4 linked regions of the Ovis aries genome follow. The protein of the gene in region 4 binds, or shares a complex with, the protein of the main gene of each other region. Links are inferred from orthologs where the notes say so. Each region holds a gene or a part of one and is shown on either strand. Other genes may lie near its edges.

Region 1 (3,941 bases), on a different chromosome or scaffold from region 4:
TGGATAAGATTAAAATGAGTGGTTTTGCCTTTGATTTTACTGGCACTGGCTCTGATGGGGTAGCCTTGGGCGGGAGGTGTTCCCAGCCAGAAGTGACGATGTGGTCCCTGTGCAGTGCCCCCTGCAGGAGATGAAACTCCAGAAGAACACAGCCGACCTCCTTCCAAAGCTCAAGGCCATGGCCCTGGCCGACAGAGCCGTGTTTGAGAAGGGCATGAAAGCTTTTGTGTCATACGTTCAGGCATACGCCAAGCATGAGTGCAACCTCATCTTCAGATTAAAGGGTAAGTTTGATTTGCTCACCATCTGAAACATTTGACGGTTTTTACAGGTATTACAAATATGAAGGGCTTTCCAGGTGGCGCTGGTGGTAAAGAACCTGCCTGCCAATGCTGGAGACATAAGAGACATGGGTTGGATCCCTGGGTTGGGAGCATCCCCTGGATGAGGAAATCACAACCTACTCCAGTATTCTTGCCTAGGGAATCACATGGACAGAGGAGCCTGGTAGGCTACAGTCCATAGAGTCACAGAGTTGGACACCACTTAGCAGCTGAGCACCTGTGTTGAGCACAAATATGAAACTGCTTTGTCTTAGGTCCATGTCAGGGTTAATGTTTTCCAAGCACTTAAAAGAAAGTCTTTCTGGGACTTGCCTTGCCTGGACTCTGAGCTTCCATTGCAGGGATTAAGGGTTCGATCCCTGGTCAGGGAACTAAGATCCTGCATGCTGTGTGGCATAGCCTCCCCAAAAATAAAAATAAGTCTTCCTTGGGTTTGACTAGGTACTGGCTGTGAGTATTCTTTTAGTAAAAATGTAATTATTTTAATTCTAATTAAAATGAGTCCATCAGATCACACAGAAAAAAATTACATTGCTGTGAATATTCTATTGGTTGATGCTTACAGTCCTGTTTTGGGTGTGCTAACTCTTGATGTTTTGGTTTAATCAGATCTTGATTTTGCTAGTCTTGCTCGAGGTTTTGCCCTGCTGAGGATGCCCAAAATGCCAGAGTTGAGAGGAAAGCAGTTTCCAGATTTCGTGCCTGTGGATGTCAACACAGATACCATCCCATTTAAAGACAAAATCAGAGAAAAGCAGAGGCAGAAGCAATTATTGGAGCAGCAGAGAAAAGAGAAAACAGAAAATGACGGCGGAAGAAAATTCATAAAAAATAAAGCTTGGTCAAAGCAGAAGGCCAAAAAGGAAAAGAAGAAAAAACTGAATGAAAAAAGGAGAAGGGAAGAGGTAAAGATGGCAATTTTTAAAATTAAATACTTAGAATTCTGAACAAATCTCACGGAAGTGTAGTATATTGTGCCTTTTAGTAGGAACTGCATAGGACTCCCAGATTTTCGTTCTCTCTTGGTGGCTTGGGTTGGGGAACATGCTGTTTGTGAAAGCTGATCTAAGAGCACGTAGTTCCCGACTGATTAAAAAGTGCTGGTTTGGGGCTTCTCTGGCGGTCCAGTGGTTAGGACTCTGCGCTTTCACGGCTGAGGCGCCCAGGTTCAGTCTCTGGTTGGGGAACTAGAATTCCACAAGCCTCCTACAGCGGCCAAAAAACCCCCCAAATTTTGCTGGTTTCACTTAGAACACTGTTGCTGAGAAATTCAGTAGCTTGTTGGTCTCTTGTGCACTCAGGGTTCTGATGTGGAGGATGAAGACATGGAGGAACTTCTGAATGACACAAGGCTCTTGAAAAAGTTAAAGAAAGGCAAAATTACTGAAGAGGAATTTGAGAAGGGGCTGTTGACAAGTGGCAAAAGGTCAACGAACAAAGCAGATTTGCAGATCTCAGATGTGGAAGATGATTGCTGATTCCCACCCCTCAGGTGAAACGCACAGGAGTGGGGAATGCGGGGAGCCGGCCCCCACTCGGCAGACAGCTCGAGCTTCCTTCTGTGGAACATCAGAACTTTCAGCAGCTGTCAGGGAGCTGCTGTTGCAGAAACGGCAGATGTGAGGGGTTTCGTGCTCGTGAGCATTTCACTAAAAACATACCAGCCTTGAAGTCTAAGAGAAGAAAACGTAAATTTACATAACTGTAAATAATAGATGTCAATATTTATTTTGATGGGTTACTTAAAGAGCTCATTTTATACTTATTAAAACTTATTTAATATAAAGCTACTGAAGTAGATTTGATTTAAGAGCTTTTAAAAGTTCCTCAGTGTTTCCCAGCTCCTTATCTCCTTTCCCTGGGTGTCTTTACCTCTGGACCCTCAGTTCTCTGTTTGATATATTGCACTGAACACCCACAAAGCCCGTAGTACCATTTTATTGGTGAGTATGTGAAAAAGCAGCAGCAAGTCATTCTGGGAAAGAAAATGATTACACCTCCTATTGAATAAACTGTAGTTCTAATTGACTGTGCCTTAAGTACGTGAAGGTGGCTGCCTAGTGTCTTTACCAAGATGGACGGTACATCTAGTGTCAGAGCCCTCTGGCTGGGCCGGGGTCAGCTTGAAGTGCAGTGCAACGCCATATCAAAATCTTCCATGTAATTTATTTGAAAAGATGCTGAGTTTGTTCCCAAGAACAATTTTAAAAAGCTGTTCAGGACCCAAATATGTTTCAAGTCACATCTTTTCCAGATATAGAATTTTAAGTTTGCAAATATTCTGGAAGGCGTCTTCATAACTGATGAGCCATGCAGGATACTCCGGCCAAAGAGGCCATTAATACCTGTTCTTGGGTTCTTGCAATAGTATCCACTCTCTTTGCCTTGATTCTTTTGTGGAGATGACAGCCCTCAGCTTGTCTTCACCGCTGGGAGCCTGAGTGTTGCCTGCCTTTTTCATCCAGCACTGCATGGAGCCTGGTCCTGGGCAGCTGCTGGTTACTGGAAGGGCACCTGGCTGTAGTTTGGACCGCTGCCCTCTCGGGCCTGCTTGTCTTTCATGGATGCTTTTGGCAAATCAGTCTAGAATGTGCGGAAGGTGAAGGGAGGGAGAGTGGGCACATCTTCATCCATCAGTCAAAGAGCCAATAATCTTATATTCCTGGAAACTGGACATGAATGAAAGTGTCTGGAAATATATGGAAACCATAAGAGCACAATTTAGGTTGGGCTTTAGAGGAACCATGAATGCATTTTAGATGGGACTGAAATGAATAAAAAATTTCCAAAGAGTTAGGATTTTAAGTCCTTAGTCCATAAAACTTCAGAAAAAACTATTCAGTTTTGGCCTGGCTCACTGAGGGGCCAAGAGACTACTCCCCATATCCGACGTCCAGCAGCAGGAAAGGACCCGGTGTTTACAGGTAGAGCTTGATGAGTTCGTCACTGACGGCCGAGGGCGTCAGCACCCCCAGGTCTGTAAACAGCAGCGTGATTAAGGAAGGGGAGGTGTAGTCGACCCACGGGTGCTCCTCTCTGAGGTCCTGTCCAGTCTGTACAGACTTCAGAGTATCCGCCTTGTACTGAGGAGACAGGAAGCCAACGTTAGTCTGCCCCACAGATTGAGGGCTCTGAACTGGTGAGGCCTTGGCCTGAGCAACTGAGGTGCTCCTGCCTGAAAGTGCCCGCTGGAAACGGGGAGGCCAACTGTGTTGCACACTGGCCAGGGGACTGAGTGTGGCTTGGGTCAGCCAGGTCATTAGAGAAAGCCTTAAGCCATGTGTCCCGTGAGTGTGCTGGAGTAACCCCTCCAGACCTCTGAAGACAACTGTTAGAGCATTTATAGAAAGCTAAATGCTAGGTGCTGTGCTAAATTCCATGGATTATCTCTGAAGCATCACAACCCCTGTACAGACAACTGAAGTTCATAAACCTTACAGTGAAAGGACCTGCCTAAGATCACATGGTTAATAGGTGATGGAGATGGCAGGTGAGCCCAGAGAGCTGACCCAAAACTTTATTTATTTTTTTGACCCAAAACTTTAGACTATTACCTACCTACTTTCCCTGCCTGCTTGGCCTGTATCTAGTGCTTAA
Region 2 (4,929 bases), on a different chromosome or scaffold from region 4:
TCTTCTCAACCTTTTTCGCACAGCAATAGAGTACTCCAAAGTTTCTAATTTAAAGAGGCCCGTCTCCAGCCAACATTGAGTCCTAGTCTTCTTTCATTCATTTCTCTCACCCTCATAAAGCTGACAAATTACTGGGATGAAGAACCCTAAAAGTTTTGTGAGTATATCTCATTGCCATAACTCACCTTCAAATCCAACACGCTCAAGCAGGTTCAGTGGGTACCAAATTAAAGGTTTGTTGCCGACTGGAAGCAGAGGTTTGGGAATACTGGAAGTCAGGTCTGTCATTCGCGATCCCCCTCCAACTGCCATTACAACTGCTTGAAATTCCATTTTTAAAAACTGTAATCACAGAGAAAACCAAGAGAAAAATGTAATAAAATCAATGCACACACAGTATTAATCTTACTTTTATTTAGGTTATTGATATTCACTTATGACAAACATGTCATTTCCAACTCCAATAACCAGAATAAGAAAGACTACTTAGCCACAGTATAAACATCACATTTATCCTATTCTCTTACTGATACATACTCTGATTTCCAGCCTGGGCTAGAGGCGGGAAATGAATAAAACAAAAATCTGGCTCTTGCTCTTGAGTTGTTGACAATCAAGTGAAGACAAATGCAGTAAATTACAATACAACATCATTAATGCCATGACAGGGATATATCTAAGGTGCAGTAGCCATATACAGTGACAGTAACACCTAAGTCTTCCTAGAAAAGGCAGGGAAGGTTTTATAGGAAAGTAATGCTTGAGCTGACTCTTAAAGGAGTAAGAGTTTATCAAGTTGGTTTCTGATATGTGAGTTTGTATTCCCTGAAAAAAATTTTAAACTTCTGACTAGAATTAACTGCACAGAGACAAGCACATTAGATCTCTGAAAAGTATGAAATGACTTAAGATGCTTCTGTTAATTCAGCCACCTGCTCCCATTTTTTCATTACCCCCAACTTGAAATATAACATTATAAACTCAAATGTAGGCTTGTATCTTAACCTAGGTTTGCAGAGCCCAATTACAGAAACAAACCAAGTTAATTTTTTTTTTCAGACTCAAGGTGATAAATGAAATTATTTGACATTCAAAAAAAATCTCTTTACAGCTGCTACAACAGAAGAGAGGCACATTAAAAGCTCACAAATCCTTATTGATTTAAAATAAAAGTACTATTTGACTTACAACAAATGATGTAACCTTTTAAAAACAAAGTGAAATTCAATGCTCCGGAAACAAAAATGTATTTAACACCAAACTGGTGAATAATGTTGCTCCTTTATCATTATTTTGATCAGTCCTGGGCTCCTCACATTAGTATCTAAACTGCAACACACACACACCCCATACACCCCAGCACAAAGTAAAGGCTCTTACACAACATCCACAAAGTAAAGATATGGTACTTTCAATTCCAGCAGGCACTGCCTCAGATTGGTATTTAACTTCAATCTGCCATTATATAAATCTCATAACATCTGATGTTACTATGAAAAGTATTAACACTGGATCCTTAAGAGTTAAAAGACCTGAGTTTGAGTTCTGGTTCTGTCACTTACAGGTGAGGTAACCAGGGGCCTGACATTTAAAACTCAGCATCCTCAGTGTCTAGAAAAGAGCCTGGTGGTTAAGTTCACAGGCCTTTTAACCAGACTGCCTGGATTTTAATTCTAGCTCTACCATGAATTAGCTGTATGATCCAAGGCAAGCTACATACCTTTCCCAAGCCTCCATTTTCTTAGTTTTCTAAGGCGGGGGGGATAATTTCTACTTCACAGAGTTGTTATAAATGTTAAATAAGTTAACCCAAGTAAAGCACACAAAACAATGACAAGCATTATATAAGTTTTTGGTAATAGACAGGTCATGGAAACTTTCTGTGCCAGCTGAACCATGCCGTTGCATAATTCTGGCCCCTGTATCACTATTCTTAGTTGCCTTTCTCCTGTGTCCAGTATGTAATCACCAATTAAACTTTAAAGACTCAGTTGAAGAATCACCTTGTGTATAAAGACATTCTTATCCCTTCCCACCCTCTTAGAGAAGTAACTCTTTTCTCCTTAAAGGCTTCCATTCTACTATATACAGATTATCTCTACCTTTCAGGATTCACTGCCCATTTATTTTAATTTTTATTATTTCTTGGCTGCCACAAGTGTGGCATGTGCGATCTTACTCCCCTCTCCCCCAACCCACCCCCGGGGATGGAACCCACCGCCCTGCATTGGAAGTGTGGAGTCTCAACCACTGTACTGCCAGCGAAGTCCATCTGCCTGTTTAAATGTCTATTTCCTGTGAGTTCCTTGACTGTCATCGTTGTATCCCTAGTACCTGACATAATTCCTGTCAGATGCCAGGCACTCAGTCAGTACTCGTGGAATGAGCATCTGTGAACCTCACAACAACCCAGAGTAAGCATCAAGCTCAAACATGTGCAGAAGGGACATGAGAACCCAGGTCACTAGGATCTGAGGTTCCTGCTCTCAGTGAGGCTCTGGGTGATAATCATGAACATAACTGATCGCAGGCAGCCTGACAAATATCTCAATGCCACTGCCACGACTCTGAGCGATGGGACTCAAGGCAAAAACTCTCTAGCCACTCAGGCTTTAGAGAGGTGGTTCATGGCATCTTCAACCTGTCTCCGATACAGCCCTCACTGCCTTCTCCCTTTGTAAATGGACAAAAACCCCGAATCACAACTGATCTCTCAGCCAGACTTTATTGTATTGCTCTTTGTATTTGTATCTTGCACCTAAAATAATCAGAAACAGAATAAAAGAACGAAGGACTTTTAAGTGGAAAGGATCAAGAACTGTGCGCAGGGCGTTCGGTGCTCACTCGCTGTGACTTCCAGCAGATCCTCCTCTCCCTGAAACTCAATTTCCTCAACTTTTGCACAAGGTGGCTGGCTCGGATGCTCCCCGAGCTTCCTTTTAGTTCGGCCACTTGGCTCCGCGGCCAGGTCCGGGAGGCACTGGAGCTGGCGACTCGGGCTCTGCACCCCTGCAACCCCCTCGGGCCCTCCTCTACCAGGCTTGTGGAGCCCGCCTCCCTCCGGTGAAGTGAGGTTCGGCGGCCTCCACCGCGCGGCTCCCCCCCGCCAGCCAGCTCGTGCGCGGCCTGGCAGCGCAGAAGCCTCAGCTTTACCTCAGGTCCCCGCGCGCCGCCACGGTTCCCAGCGCTCCCCGCGCTCCCCACGCCGCCGCCGACTGACAGCCAAAAGACGCAGGCGCACGATGGCCGGGCAGATCGATGGGACGCGCTGGGCAGGCCCTCAGAGAAGAAAATGAGCACCGAATAATAGATGACGGCCGAGAAGGATGCCGCGGGGAGGAGGGGAGGAGTAGCGGAGGCGGGGCCGCCCGAGCCTTTTCATTCATTCACAAATTACCAACGCCCACTGAGCGTCCCTCAGGTTGCAGGGTAACTGGTCACAGTCTCTTCCTTCAGGCAATTCTCCTTCTAGGAGAATTCTCCTAGGACCTGGTCCCTACTACCACTCTGCGGAAGGACAGCTCATTGGGAGCTGCGGTCTAGGGCTGACCAGTGGAGAAATCACCAAGGATTGCCACGGTTTTCTATGTCCAGTGAGGTCTAATGTGGCACTCAACGTTGGCTTTCTGAACCAGATTATTATGGTATGGAAAACATCCACCTTTAGCCATCAAAAGTTGGTCGGGAGTGTGGGATTCAGGAAGATCTCACTGTAATGGTGGGGAAAATCCCCTGGAGGAGGCATAGCAAACCACTCCAGTATCCTTGTCTGGAAAACCCCATGGACAGAGGAGCCTGGCGGTCTACAGTGCATAAAGTTGCCCAGAATCAGACACAACTGAAGCGACTTAGCAGCACTGTGATGGTGATACTGAACAGTGGCTTGGAGAGAGTGAGTCAAATGAATATCTTGGGTAAGAGCCTTCCAAGAAGACTAGCCAGCAAGTGCAAAGGCCTTGGAGAGAGAAGGCAACTTCGGAGAACAACAAAGAAGCCAATAGAGCTGAAGAAAAGTGAACTGGGGGAGGGTGGATGACGGCAGAGTAAGCCGGAGAGGCAATGGGGGAGAAGGTGGAGAATTCAGATCCTGTGGGTCTTGTAGGCATTGTGAGGACCTTGACTTGTGCAGAGGAGCAGCGAAATAACACGCTTTTAGAGGATCACTGTGGTTGCTGTTTTGATAATAGAATCTCTGCTTCCAGAGACCAGTTAAGAAGCTGCAACCTCCGGATGAGAAAACCCAAACATCTGAGTCTAGACTCCAACAATTGTGAGATAACAATAAAATAATTCTTTTTTGTTTGTTTTGTTTTAAGCAGTACATTTTTAAGGCAGATTGTTAAGCTGCATTATCTGGTTTGGGGTAGGGGTTGTGTGGTTTCCGTTTTTTGGGCCATGCTGCTGGGCTCAAGCAATCTTAGTTCCTCAACCAGAAATTGAACCCAAGCCTTGGCAGTGAAAGCATGGAGTCCTAACCACTGGACCACCAGGGGATTCTATAAACTACATTGAATAACAATTCAATAACATTGAATGGTCGTTCTCTCTTTTGGAAGGTTCCCTCTTTTTCTATCCATCTCTTTTTAATAATATTTCTTTAATTTAAAAATATGTATCTGTTTTATTTTTGGCTGCATTGGATCTCCGCTGCTGTGCAAGGGCTTTCTCTGGTTGGGTGAGTGGGGCTACTCTTCCTTGTCGTGCACAGGCTTCTCGGTGCCGTGGCTTCTCTTGTTGCAGAGCACAGGCTCTGAGGCACGAGGGCTGTAGCAGTTGTGGCACACAGGCTTAGCTGCTCAGTGCCACATGGCATCTTCCCCAGCCAGGGATCAAACCCGTGTTCCCTGCATTGGCAGGTGGATTCTTAACCAGTGGACCACCAGGGAAGTCCTCTATCCATCTGTTAAAACTTTAGTTACCTTAGCTCCC
Region 3 (3,942 bases), on a different chromosome or scaffold from region 4:
AACCAAACTGGATGTTCTCCTCCTCTGTCCCAGACACTGCTCCCTTGGCCACGTACCTTTGATGTCATCCATCTGTGGAGAGCCTGCCCGGCTGCCTAGCTCTTCAGAATCCATACTTTGCTCACTTTCAGTTTCACTCTCTTCTTCCATGTTGATTCTGAGTCCTGAGAATCCAGAAGGGGTGAGAAAAAAGAAAACGGAAGAGCCACTGACAGCAATATATCTGCTCTGTCTGCATGAATAAATTAATGAACAAGCAGTCTGATTCTGATCCCCTGCTGAAGAAAATGGCAACTCACTCCAGTATTTTTGCCTGCAGAATCCTATGGATAGAGAAGCCTGGCAGGCTACAGTCCACTGGGCCATAACAGTCAGATATAACTTAGGGACTAAACCACTGCCAGTATGATTCTGAAGTGTTCAAACTCCCTCAAAATAACCTGATTTAGATGGTGGGTGGCAGGAATGAGGCCTAGCTTACCCCATAGATTCTGCCGTAGTTCCTCCTCTTCCTCCATGTTCATGTCTGCAGCTTTCCAGAGGTAGCCCTGGCCTGCAACTCCGACTTCTGCTGGATTGTAACCTGGAAAAGACACTGATCTTTAGCAAGGGCCCAGGAGAAGCACCAACCCCTTAGGAGGAAACACTGGTATTTCTATGGGGCAGAGAGACACACAGATGCCCCACACCTGCTGAGTTTCACACCTTTCAGCTTCACTTTCTCCTTTTCTTGGTCAGCCCCAGAATCATCACTGAACTGACCATCATCATCATCATCCTCTGCATCTGGAGGGTGCAAAGAGATCACCGAGCCCTCAGGCAGCATGATATCTGGGCCTACTACCACCTGGAGGAGAAAAAAGGAGTGGGTGGCATAAATCCATTAATGTGTGGGAAAAGTACTCCCTGCAAAGGAAAGTGACTTTACTAAGTCAAGTAGAAAGCAAATGAAAACACTGGATTGGGAATTTCAATTGAGGCTGGATTTGGTGGACATAAGGCACTTTCTGGCTCAGCATAACCACCACTCAGCTGTGCCATGTGGAGCAGGTCTTACCTGGGAAGTAAGGACACAGTGAGGCTTCAGTGTAACATTTTCCTTGACCTCAGCATTGTCACAGAGCAGAGACTGATGAATCTGTGCTCCAGCAGCAACTCGGACCCCCTGCCACAGGAAGGCCTGGTCCAGCACCACATTATCACCTGGCTCAGGACAGGAAAGACTCCTGGTCACCCATGGCTCCAATTCCAGACCAGGCCACTTTTCAGACCATTTGTGGAGAATGGGGCTGACTGACACCAGCAGAGCTCCCATCCAGCTCTACCACTCCATCCCCAAATTACCATAAATCCCCTCTTCCTCTCTAAGCTCAGGCCAGAGACCAGAACATTGCCCAGCCTGACTACCCTCCACCAGTTTTACAGCAATTTGACTATATACTGAACTTAAGAACCTGAGAACCTTTAAGATTTCTGGAGATCTCTTTCAAGAAACTTATTAGAATCACATTCCTGTCTAAAAGTAGAACCAAATTATTCTACCGCTTTTGTTTTGGTACATTTTAAAGTCAGAATCTTATTGTTCTCTTAATGGGGCAGTTTCATGAGAAGCATCACTTTCTTATAACCAAAGTGAGTTATTAAAGAGTATAAAGAACCCTAAACTTATAATCAGAATCAAGTACCTGCATTGCCTCTTATGAGCCATGACCTTGGAGGGACAACCACTTTTAGCCTTTTTGATTATCTATAAAACTTATCTATAAATAATACCTCACAAGGTTTTTATGAGGATTAAATGAAATAAAGTACACAGAACCCCTTTGTAAACTGCTATGTACTGAACAGGTGTTATTGCATGTTAATTATCCAGTTGGTCCTGAATGTGAATACAGGGTACCCTGGAATGCGAAGAGTCACCCAATAATAGGCTCACAGACCACAAATTTAAAGTATCACTGTTTTTACATCCCTGTTCCTTCCTTTATTAAGGCAGCCACTCTAGTTCCTTATTCTCAGGGACTATCCCTCTGTATCCTTTTCTGAACTCATGGGGTTCCCCCAAGTTCCTGCTCCTAGGATGGCCAGCTTGACCTCCCTACCTATACTCACCAATGTGACAGCCAGGGCCAATGACACTGTTAGTGATGGAGCAATTGCTGCCAATGACAGTGCCAGAACCTAAGAGCACGTTTTCCTCCAGGATGCTGCCATGGCCCAGGCTGACCTCAGGCCCTCGGTAGATGTTATGTCGGGAGTGAGTGCAGCTCTGGGTTGTGCTGTCAGTGAAGTTAGCCTCTGGGGTGAGAGGGTAGACCCATCGGCGGATGACATCTGCGCAGACAGCAGCATACATGTGTAGGTTGGAGACCCGGGCACCATATTCCTTAGTTGTCACATGCATGTGGATCTGGTTTCCTAAGATCTAAATGAGGAGAAAAAAAGGTCACCCAAGCAAGCAAGAGAGAAAGAACATCCCCCAGTATAATTCTCTTCTAACTTCCTTAAATTCCCTACTGCTTCTCAATGTCATAGCCAAGTGGCCTGAGACTTTTTTCTGTACTGCTCCCCCCTCACCTCCAGCTATTTTCCTTCCTCCTACAGCTCAATAAAATATAAGACGGGACCAAAAGTCTCCCCACCTACCCAAGGGAAAACAAAATTTCACATTACGTGTAATGGTGGATAGTCACGTTTTTAGCAATCGATTTGTTGATTTTGAGATTTTTTAACATGTCACGGGTGGTCAGATGGTATTGGGGATCTGACAAAAATGAAAAATGAATCTTCTGTGTGTCAGCAGGGTCTACTGTCCCTGAAGTTGGTTAAAATAAAAAAGCAAATGAAGAAAGAGAGGGAAAAAGGCGGGGTTGGAGGGGTAGGGGTGGGAAACCAAAAGTTATCAGCGTGAGATAATATTACAGCCCTCTTCTAAAGAGGCACTGGGAGCCTTTTATTACCTCCTCATTCACTAACAGGCCTCGCACAAAGTCATCTCGTGTTTGGTAGTCGAAGTTGTCTGTAAATAGTTGAGCCACCTGTGTGGAGAAGTCAGAGGGGGATGATGTTAAGTACTATTCTCTGGAAGCAAACATAGCCTCCCAGAGACATGTCAGACACTGTGACAGCAGGACATGGGCAAGAATCCCAAAAAAGTCAGCCAATGAACTACTGGGGTCAAGACGACAACACCTCCTTGCTATAGAACAGATAAGAGAGGGGGAGAAAAAATATACCTTGTCACTTAAGGGGGTGGTAATACACCCTCAGAGTTTTCCTCGGTGGATATGCAGCCTTTGACCTGAGGAGCTCACCTGAGGAGAGCAGATGCTGATGTGACAATCAAGTAAGTCATAACGAATCTCCACTCCATCTCCACTGCCCTGGAACAAGCTCTGTGGAGAAGTTACAAGGACTTAACTCATCTCTCCTGCGGAAGCCTGTCACCTTCCCACTTCAAGGACCCCAGATAAACACATACCAGAGGGAAAGAAAAACGTCGGAGGCCTTGGGTCTTCTGGAAATGGAGCACCTGATTTGTGGCACTATCCACGGCCACTACCACGTTGTCCTCATGACAACGAGTTGGGTGGCTGGGGGATGACTCCTTGAAGATCATCGTCATCACAGACACATTTTTTTCTAGCTTCCTCCTTAACCTATAAAGGACAGGAAGGAGATAGCTGTAAAAAAGCAGTCCTAGGGCTCTGTTGGTCCCAAACCCTACCTCTACTGTTTTCCCATCCTGACCTGTGTTCTTCCAGGGCTCTGGTAATATTGATGTTTGAGATGACATCCCCATACACCAGAAGGAAGTCAGAGCGCACCAAGGCTTTAGCATCAACATCACGGAGAACATCCCCCAGTGATCTATACAGCTCTGATGTAATTATTCGAACCACATTGAGGGATGTTGGGCGGCACCACTTGGATTTCCTAAGG
Region 4 (4,811 bases):
GTCACACACCAGTAGAGGGGAAGGGATTCTAGGTTCAGACCACAAGTTCTAGCATAAAAGTGGATTCCCAAAGGAAAAATGAACACAGTACAGGACAGAAAACTGCAGTGTTTACTGCTCTTAGCCCTGTCTTCCATGGAAATCTATCTTCCACACCTCCTGAGAAATGGGAAGCCTTTCTTCTACCATCCACCACTACCAAGCTCTCTGAGCAGAAGTGGGCAGCTCTCCATCAGATCCCTAACATGCTGACAAGATTAGCTTAGTCCCATTTCATTCCTTTCAGTCCTTTAACCAAAATGAGGTGCCTCCAAGGGAGGACAGAGAAGGAAATGACAACCCACTCCAGTACTCTTGCCTGGAGAATCCCATGGACGGAGGAGCCTGGTAGGCTGCAGTCCAGGGGGTCGCTAAGAGTCGGACAGGACTGAGCGACTTCACTTTCACTTTTCACTTTCATGCATTGGAGAAGGAAATGACAACCCATTCCAGTATTCTTGCCTGGAGAATCCCAGGGACAAGGAAGCCTGGTGGGCTGCTGTCTATGGGGTCACACAGAGTCGGACACGACTGAAGCAACTTAGCAGCAGTAGCACCCAAGGGAGGAATAAACAGGGGGGATCAATATTAATAGAATAAGAGATTTAAAAGGTCCATGTATGTGTTTTCAAAAGGTACTAGAAACTCTCCTCTCCTCTTATAGATATTGGGGCCAGGGAGGGGGGCAGATATTAATATTTTAACGTATAATCTTCATAAATTTGACATAATATAACCCAAATATACCCACCTTGTTGACTCTTGACATAACAGCAAAAATGGCAGCATCAGTCATGACCGTTGTCTCAATACCTGCTTTGGACAAATTGACTGCCATCTCATGACCCTGCATGTGGAGAGAAAGGCTGATGCTGAGAGGAAGAGTGGGGGAGAGAGAAAGAGCTTTCAAACATCACTGGATCTGGGGGACTGGGTGACACTGGCTGTATCCAACGTGCAACTTCCAACAGGCAACTAACTCATCTGGTAGGTGTTCTCTGGGAAGCGGCAGGAAGCCCAGGGGAAGCTAATTAATGTTTATTACTCCCCAACACTGCTGGGACAGGCACAGAACTGGAAATACAACTTGCTTGTGTAACTGGGCAGAGCACACAGGACAGCTCCTGGCTCATTATTTTACAACATCCTTGCATCCTTACATATTTCCTTTCTGGAGACCTATTATTTACCTGAAGACTGAGTGGGGTCAGACCAAGCATCGGTCATCCCCAAGGTCATTTACCCTATTCTGATTTCTGAAAGAACTAATATTTATCTTTTCTTGGGCCAAGTAGTTCACTCAACTTCCTTAAATGAATATTTTAAGAATGTTCACAGGATCAACAACGTGAAATTCTCTTAAATGTTTTACTCTATCTCCTCAATGTTTAAAATGCATCAATTCAAAGATGGCATTATTCTCTCATTTAAAAATTTTCTTAGCAGCTCTAGCAGTCCCCATACCTGACAGAAAGGTGCACACTCTGCAACGATGACATGGAATTTCCTCTTCCGGGCAGCCTCTTTGAGGAATGCCTCCACCGTGCGAGAGAAGCCGATGGTCATGATGACCTCATTGGAGTGGATGTGCTCCAGAGCCTGGGCTGCGATGTTCTCCGTTGTCCCTTCTGCAAGAAGCCAGTTTCGCATGGAAAATATGACACAGTCATGCTACAATACAGACTTGTGAGAGAACAGAAAGGGATGTGTGCCGTTTTGTACAATGCCCACCTAGCAGAGCCTGGTAACACATGGTCAATGGACTAAATGTGAAATGTCCTATTTCCTTAAAAGCCTCCTCCCTCCAGGGTTTTCTATCTCCCAAGCTCTCAGCCTACCCTCTTGCCCTACTCATCAACTTACTCCCTTCACCCCTACCCCGCCCAAAACTAGTTCTTTACAACTGACTTTGAAGACAGTGAATTTAGGCAAGAAATGCCCCATTTGGGAAATTTGAAAGTGCTGAGAGTAGGGTAAACAGAGTTTCCCTCTAAAAGAATTCCTCCTCCAAAAGGTGGCCACAACGCCTCCACGTGACAGGGAGGACACAGAAGAAAAACAGGGGAGGAATTTGGAAGAAGCAGCTCAGCACACAGACAAACCCAGTTTCTTCCTTTCCCGGAAACACTGATGGCAATAAATATCTGGCCTCCTAGGTCACAAAGATAGGGGGGATAGAAGTGGCTTGTGTGTATGCATATGGGTATCTATGTGTGTGTGTCTGTAAAATTTAAAGAAGTTTAGTGAAAAAGGGTTTATCAACTGTGGTTTTCAGAGGTTCATCTTAAAAATAAAAGCTCTTCCCAAACAGTCTCTGCCACAGTGGATTTGCAGTAGATAAGGGGTCAGTCTGTAAGGAAATGTAGAAAGGGTTATTTTAGTCTTGCCACCTATTCCAATCATTCTTAATCCGGATGAGGGCAAACCTCTGAGAACCAGAAGACTGGTTATCGTCCACCTCTGCTTATGAACAACTTCCAAGGTCTTCTGTTCCCTCATCTGCCTGCAACTTGTCCTGTCCACCTAAGGATCAGGACTCACCCAGTTCCACCAGCAGCTCATTAATTGCCTCAATGATGTTGGACTGGAGTTGAGCATAATGGGAACGGAAATCCTCGCTCAGGCCCCCGGATGTCAAGAGTTTGTGCAGAGACTCCTGCTGATCGCTCTCGTCGCTGCGTCCATGGAGTCTACGAAGGCAACAAGACCCAAAGGAGTTGGAGGAAGAGATGTGGTCGTTTAAGTAACGACAGCTGCTCAGCTCCAACAAAGGCTCCAAGCAGGGAGAGAGAGGGGCCCGTGCAAAACGCTTCACTGGGCCCAAGCCCCGGTCCAGGACGTGGGCCTGACCTGCCATACTCCTCCCGGATGATCCTGAGCACTCTCCGCACCATGTTGCCCACGGTGGTCTCTGAGGGTTGCGCGGCCGTCATCCTCCGGCCTTCTCTGCGGATCAGTTCCATCAGCTCCCCTACCGCCCAAAGAGAAAAGGTGAGCGCGAGAAGGGCGCAGCGTGGGGCCTGGGCGACTTTCCGCCCGGGGATCGGGATCAGAAAGGGGCGAGGCCTGCCTCACCTGCATTACTCCAGCGGTGGTCCGTGATGATGCGGCGAAGCAGCCCCAGAGTCTCCCGGGCCATGTCCTCGGAGCTGCGCTGCCCGCCGCCCCGCTTCAGCGCCTCCACGAAACTCTCGATCCTCTCGGACAGCTCCGAGCCCTTGGCGGCTGCCCCTGGCATCGCGAAAGAAGCCGCCTTGCCGGCGGAATCCACACCAGGCAGACTTCCGAGCTTACACTTCCGGGGCAGGAAAGGTCGGCTTCCGCTCTGCTAGGAAAAAAACTCTCGCTTGGGAGAAGACTGGGCCACGCCCCTCGCTGCTAACTCCCGCCCCCGCCCCTCCCCCTCACCTGACAGAGCCAATCAGACTCTTGGAACTCGATGTGTTGCGTTTACCGCCAAGCGTCCGCGCCTCAGAGGTTGGAAGGCTGCAAGTGTCTTTTCTCGGCTTCTCGATCGCTGAAGACCTGACGGTTGACGTCACAAGAGGATGGCTAGTCCTGTTACTGTGGAAACAGCCAGTGTGAAAGGCCCCCACCACTTCCCGAGGCTACGCTGGAGAAGTTGCAGCCCTACTTCGCCGTCCCTCAGCTCCGGTGACCATCAGAGTGCTGCCCCAGGGTCCGCTACCCCTAGGGCAGACGCCCCATCATAATGCTGTTACATTGCATGATACTGGTTCGTTTGCGCCTGTCTCTCTAGCAGACCGAGCTCCCTGATGCCAAGGACCATTTTTTTTTTCTTTTTAGAATAAGAGGACCTATCTCATAAAGATGCATTAGCTGAGACAATTCATACACAGTGTCTACACCTAGTAAACTCTAAACGGTCGTATTGTTTTACTCCCCAGCCTCTAGTCCATACAGATGGAAGGACATCATCTTTGCTCCCATATTAACTGCCACTTTGAATCTTCTTATTGGTGGATATTCGGTCTCCTCATCTCTGAGGAGATGTGCTAGACGTTGAAAAGTGAAGTGAAGCCGCTCAGTCATGTTCGACTCTTTGGGACCCCATGGACTGTAGCCTACCAAATTCCTCTGTCCATGGGATTTTCCCGGCAATAGTACTGGAGTGGATTGCCATTTCCTTCTCCAGTGGATCTTCCCAACCTAGGGATCGAACCCGGGTCTCCAGAGACCAATTGCCTTACAGAAAAATATATCAGTACCCAAATCAGACAAAGATAATATGAAAAAAAAAAAAAAGAAAATAAGAGACCAGTGTCCCTCATGAATGCAGATGCAAAGAGCTGCAACAAATTATTAGCAAACCAAATTCATCAGTATATAAAAGATTCATGTAAGAACTTCCCTGGTGGCCCAGTGCTTAGGAATCCACCACCCAATGAATGCAGAGGACACAGGTTCAATCCCTGGTCCAGGAGGATCCCGCATACTACAGAGCAACTAAGTGGTGTGCCGCAGCTACCAAAGCCTGCGCCCTCTAGGGCAGGAGAACCACAACTACTGAGCCCCTGTGCTGCAACTACTGAGGCCCATGTGCCGGAACCAGTGCATCACAAGTAACCCCTGCTCACCACGACTAGAGAAGGCCTGCATGAAGCAATGAAGACCCAGCACAGTCAAAAGTAAATAAGAAGATTAATGTATAATTACCAAGTATAATTTAAATCTGGAAGATAAAGCTGTTGCAATATTTGAAAATCAATTTGAGAAACTATGTTAATATTCTAGAAAGTAAAACCACATGA

Evidence for each region.
Region 1: the proteins of EIF2B2 (region 4) and EIF2B1 are in contact, whole or in part, in a cryo-EM structure (PDB 7F64), measured with the Homo sapiens proteins. The link is inferred for Ovis aries from reciprocal best matches to the Homo sapiens genes EIF2B2 and EIF2B1. Residues at the interface, in NP_055054.1 of Homo sapiens: Glu107, Ser108, Leu109, His110, Leu112, Leu113, Thr114, Ser115, Asn242, Phe278, Asn280, Glu281, Glu282, Ser334, Tyr337, Arg338; in NP_001405.1 of Homo sapiens: Leu71, Arg74, Phe75, Leu78, Arg96, Leu99, Phe100, Arg103, Lys110, Thr117, Phe118, Lys120, Ser232, Phe235, Leu283, Asp287, Leu288, Val290, Thr292, Ser294, Ala295, Asp298, Glu299, Leu300, Lys302, Leu303.
Region 2: EIF2B2 (region 4) and EIF2B3 share a complex: the UniProt entries of both Homo sapiens proteins name them as parts of the translation initiation factor 2B (eIF2B) complex. The link is inferred for Ovis aries from reciprocal best matches to the Homo sapiens genes EIF2B2 and EIF2B3.
Region 3: the proteins of EIF2B2 (region 4) and EIF2B5 are in contact, whole or in part, in a cryo-EM structure (PDB 6O81), measured with the Homo sapiens proteins. The link is inferred for Ovis aries from reciprocal best matches to the Homo sapiens genes EIF2B2 and EIF2B5. Residues at the interface, in NP_055054.1 of Homo sapiens: Ser12, Glu13, Glu16, Glu20, Lys23, Arg24, Asp283, Lys287, Phe288, Val289, Ala290, Pro291, Glu292, Glu293, Leu295, Pro296, Phe297, Thr298, Gly300, Asp301, Leu303, Glu304, Val306, Ser307, His309; in NP_003898.2 of Homo sapiens: Glu81, Thr84, Ala85, Thr115, Leu117, Lys186, Glu187, Ser188, Ser189, Ser191, His192, Pro193, Thr194, Leu245, Lys294, Glu295, Tyr296, Asp312, Arg315, Arg316, Trp317, Tyr319, Pro320, Ala325, Asn326, Asp329, Thr336, His337, His340, Asn341.

What each region holds. Positions count from the first base shown.
Region 1 is NC_056070.1:52,100,867-52,104,807, reverse strand, and holds the end of EIF2B1 (translation initiation factor eIF-2B subunit alpha), read right to left. Parts: intron 3,428-3,941; coding exon 3,263-3,427; 3' UTR 1,823-3,262; coding exon of another isoform or gene 1,646-1,822; 3' UTR 1,250-1,645; coding exon of another isoform or gene 954-1,249; 3' UTR 805-953; downstream 1-804. Other genes in the region: ATP-dependent RNA helicase DDX55, read left to right, coding at 116-284, 954-1,249, 1,646-1,822.
Region 2 is NC_056054.1:19,637,430-19,642,358, forward strand, and holds the start of EIF2B3 (translation initiation factor eIF-2B subunit gamma), read right to left. Parts: upstream 3,218-4,929; 5' UTR 2,845-3,217; intron 343-2,844; 5' UTR 334-342; coding exon 186-333; intron 1-185. UniProt on the Homo sapiens protein: Acts as a component of the translation initiation factor 2B (eIF2B) complex, which catalyzes the exchange of GDP for GTP on the eukaryotic initiation factor 2 (eIF2) complex gamma subunit.
Region 3 is NC_056054.1:203,792,730-203,796,671, forward strand, and holds part of EIF2B5 (translation initiation factor eIF-2B subunit epsilon), read right to left. Parts: intron 3,937-3,942; coding exon 3,751-3,936; intron 3,660-3,750; coding exon 3,482-3,659; intron 3,396-3,481; coding exon 3,315-3,395; intron 3,039-3,314; coding exon 2,961-3,038; intron 2,426-2,960; coding exon 2,113-2,425; intron 1,204-2,112; coding exon 1,058-1,203; intron 848-1,057; coding exon 706-847; intron 584-705; coding exon 482-583; intron 165-481; coding exon 57-164; intron 1-56. UniProt on the Homo sapiens protein: Acts as a component of the translation initiation factor 2B (eIF2B) complex, which catalyzes the exchange of GDP for GTP on eukaryotic initiation factor 2 (eIF2) gamma subunit.
Region 4 is NC_056060.1:84,336,926-84,341,736, reverse strand, and holds the start of EIF2B2 (translation initiation factor eIF-2B subunit beta), read right to left. Parts: upstream 3,326-4,811; 5' UTR 3,278-3,325; coding exon 3,115-3,277; intron 3,011-3,114; coding exon 2,890-3,010; intron 2,730-2,889; coding exon 2,581-2,729; intron 1,668-2,580; coding exon 1,504-1,667; intron 887-1,503; coding exon 791-886; intron 1-790. UniProt on the Homo sapiens protein: Acts as a component of the translation initiation factor 2B (eIF2B) complex, which catalyzes the exchange of GDP for GTP on eukaryotic initiation factor 2 (eIF2) gamma subunit.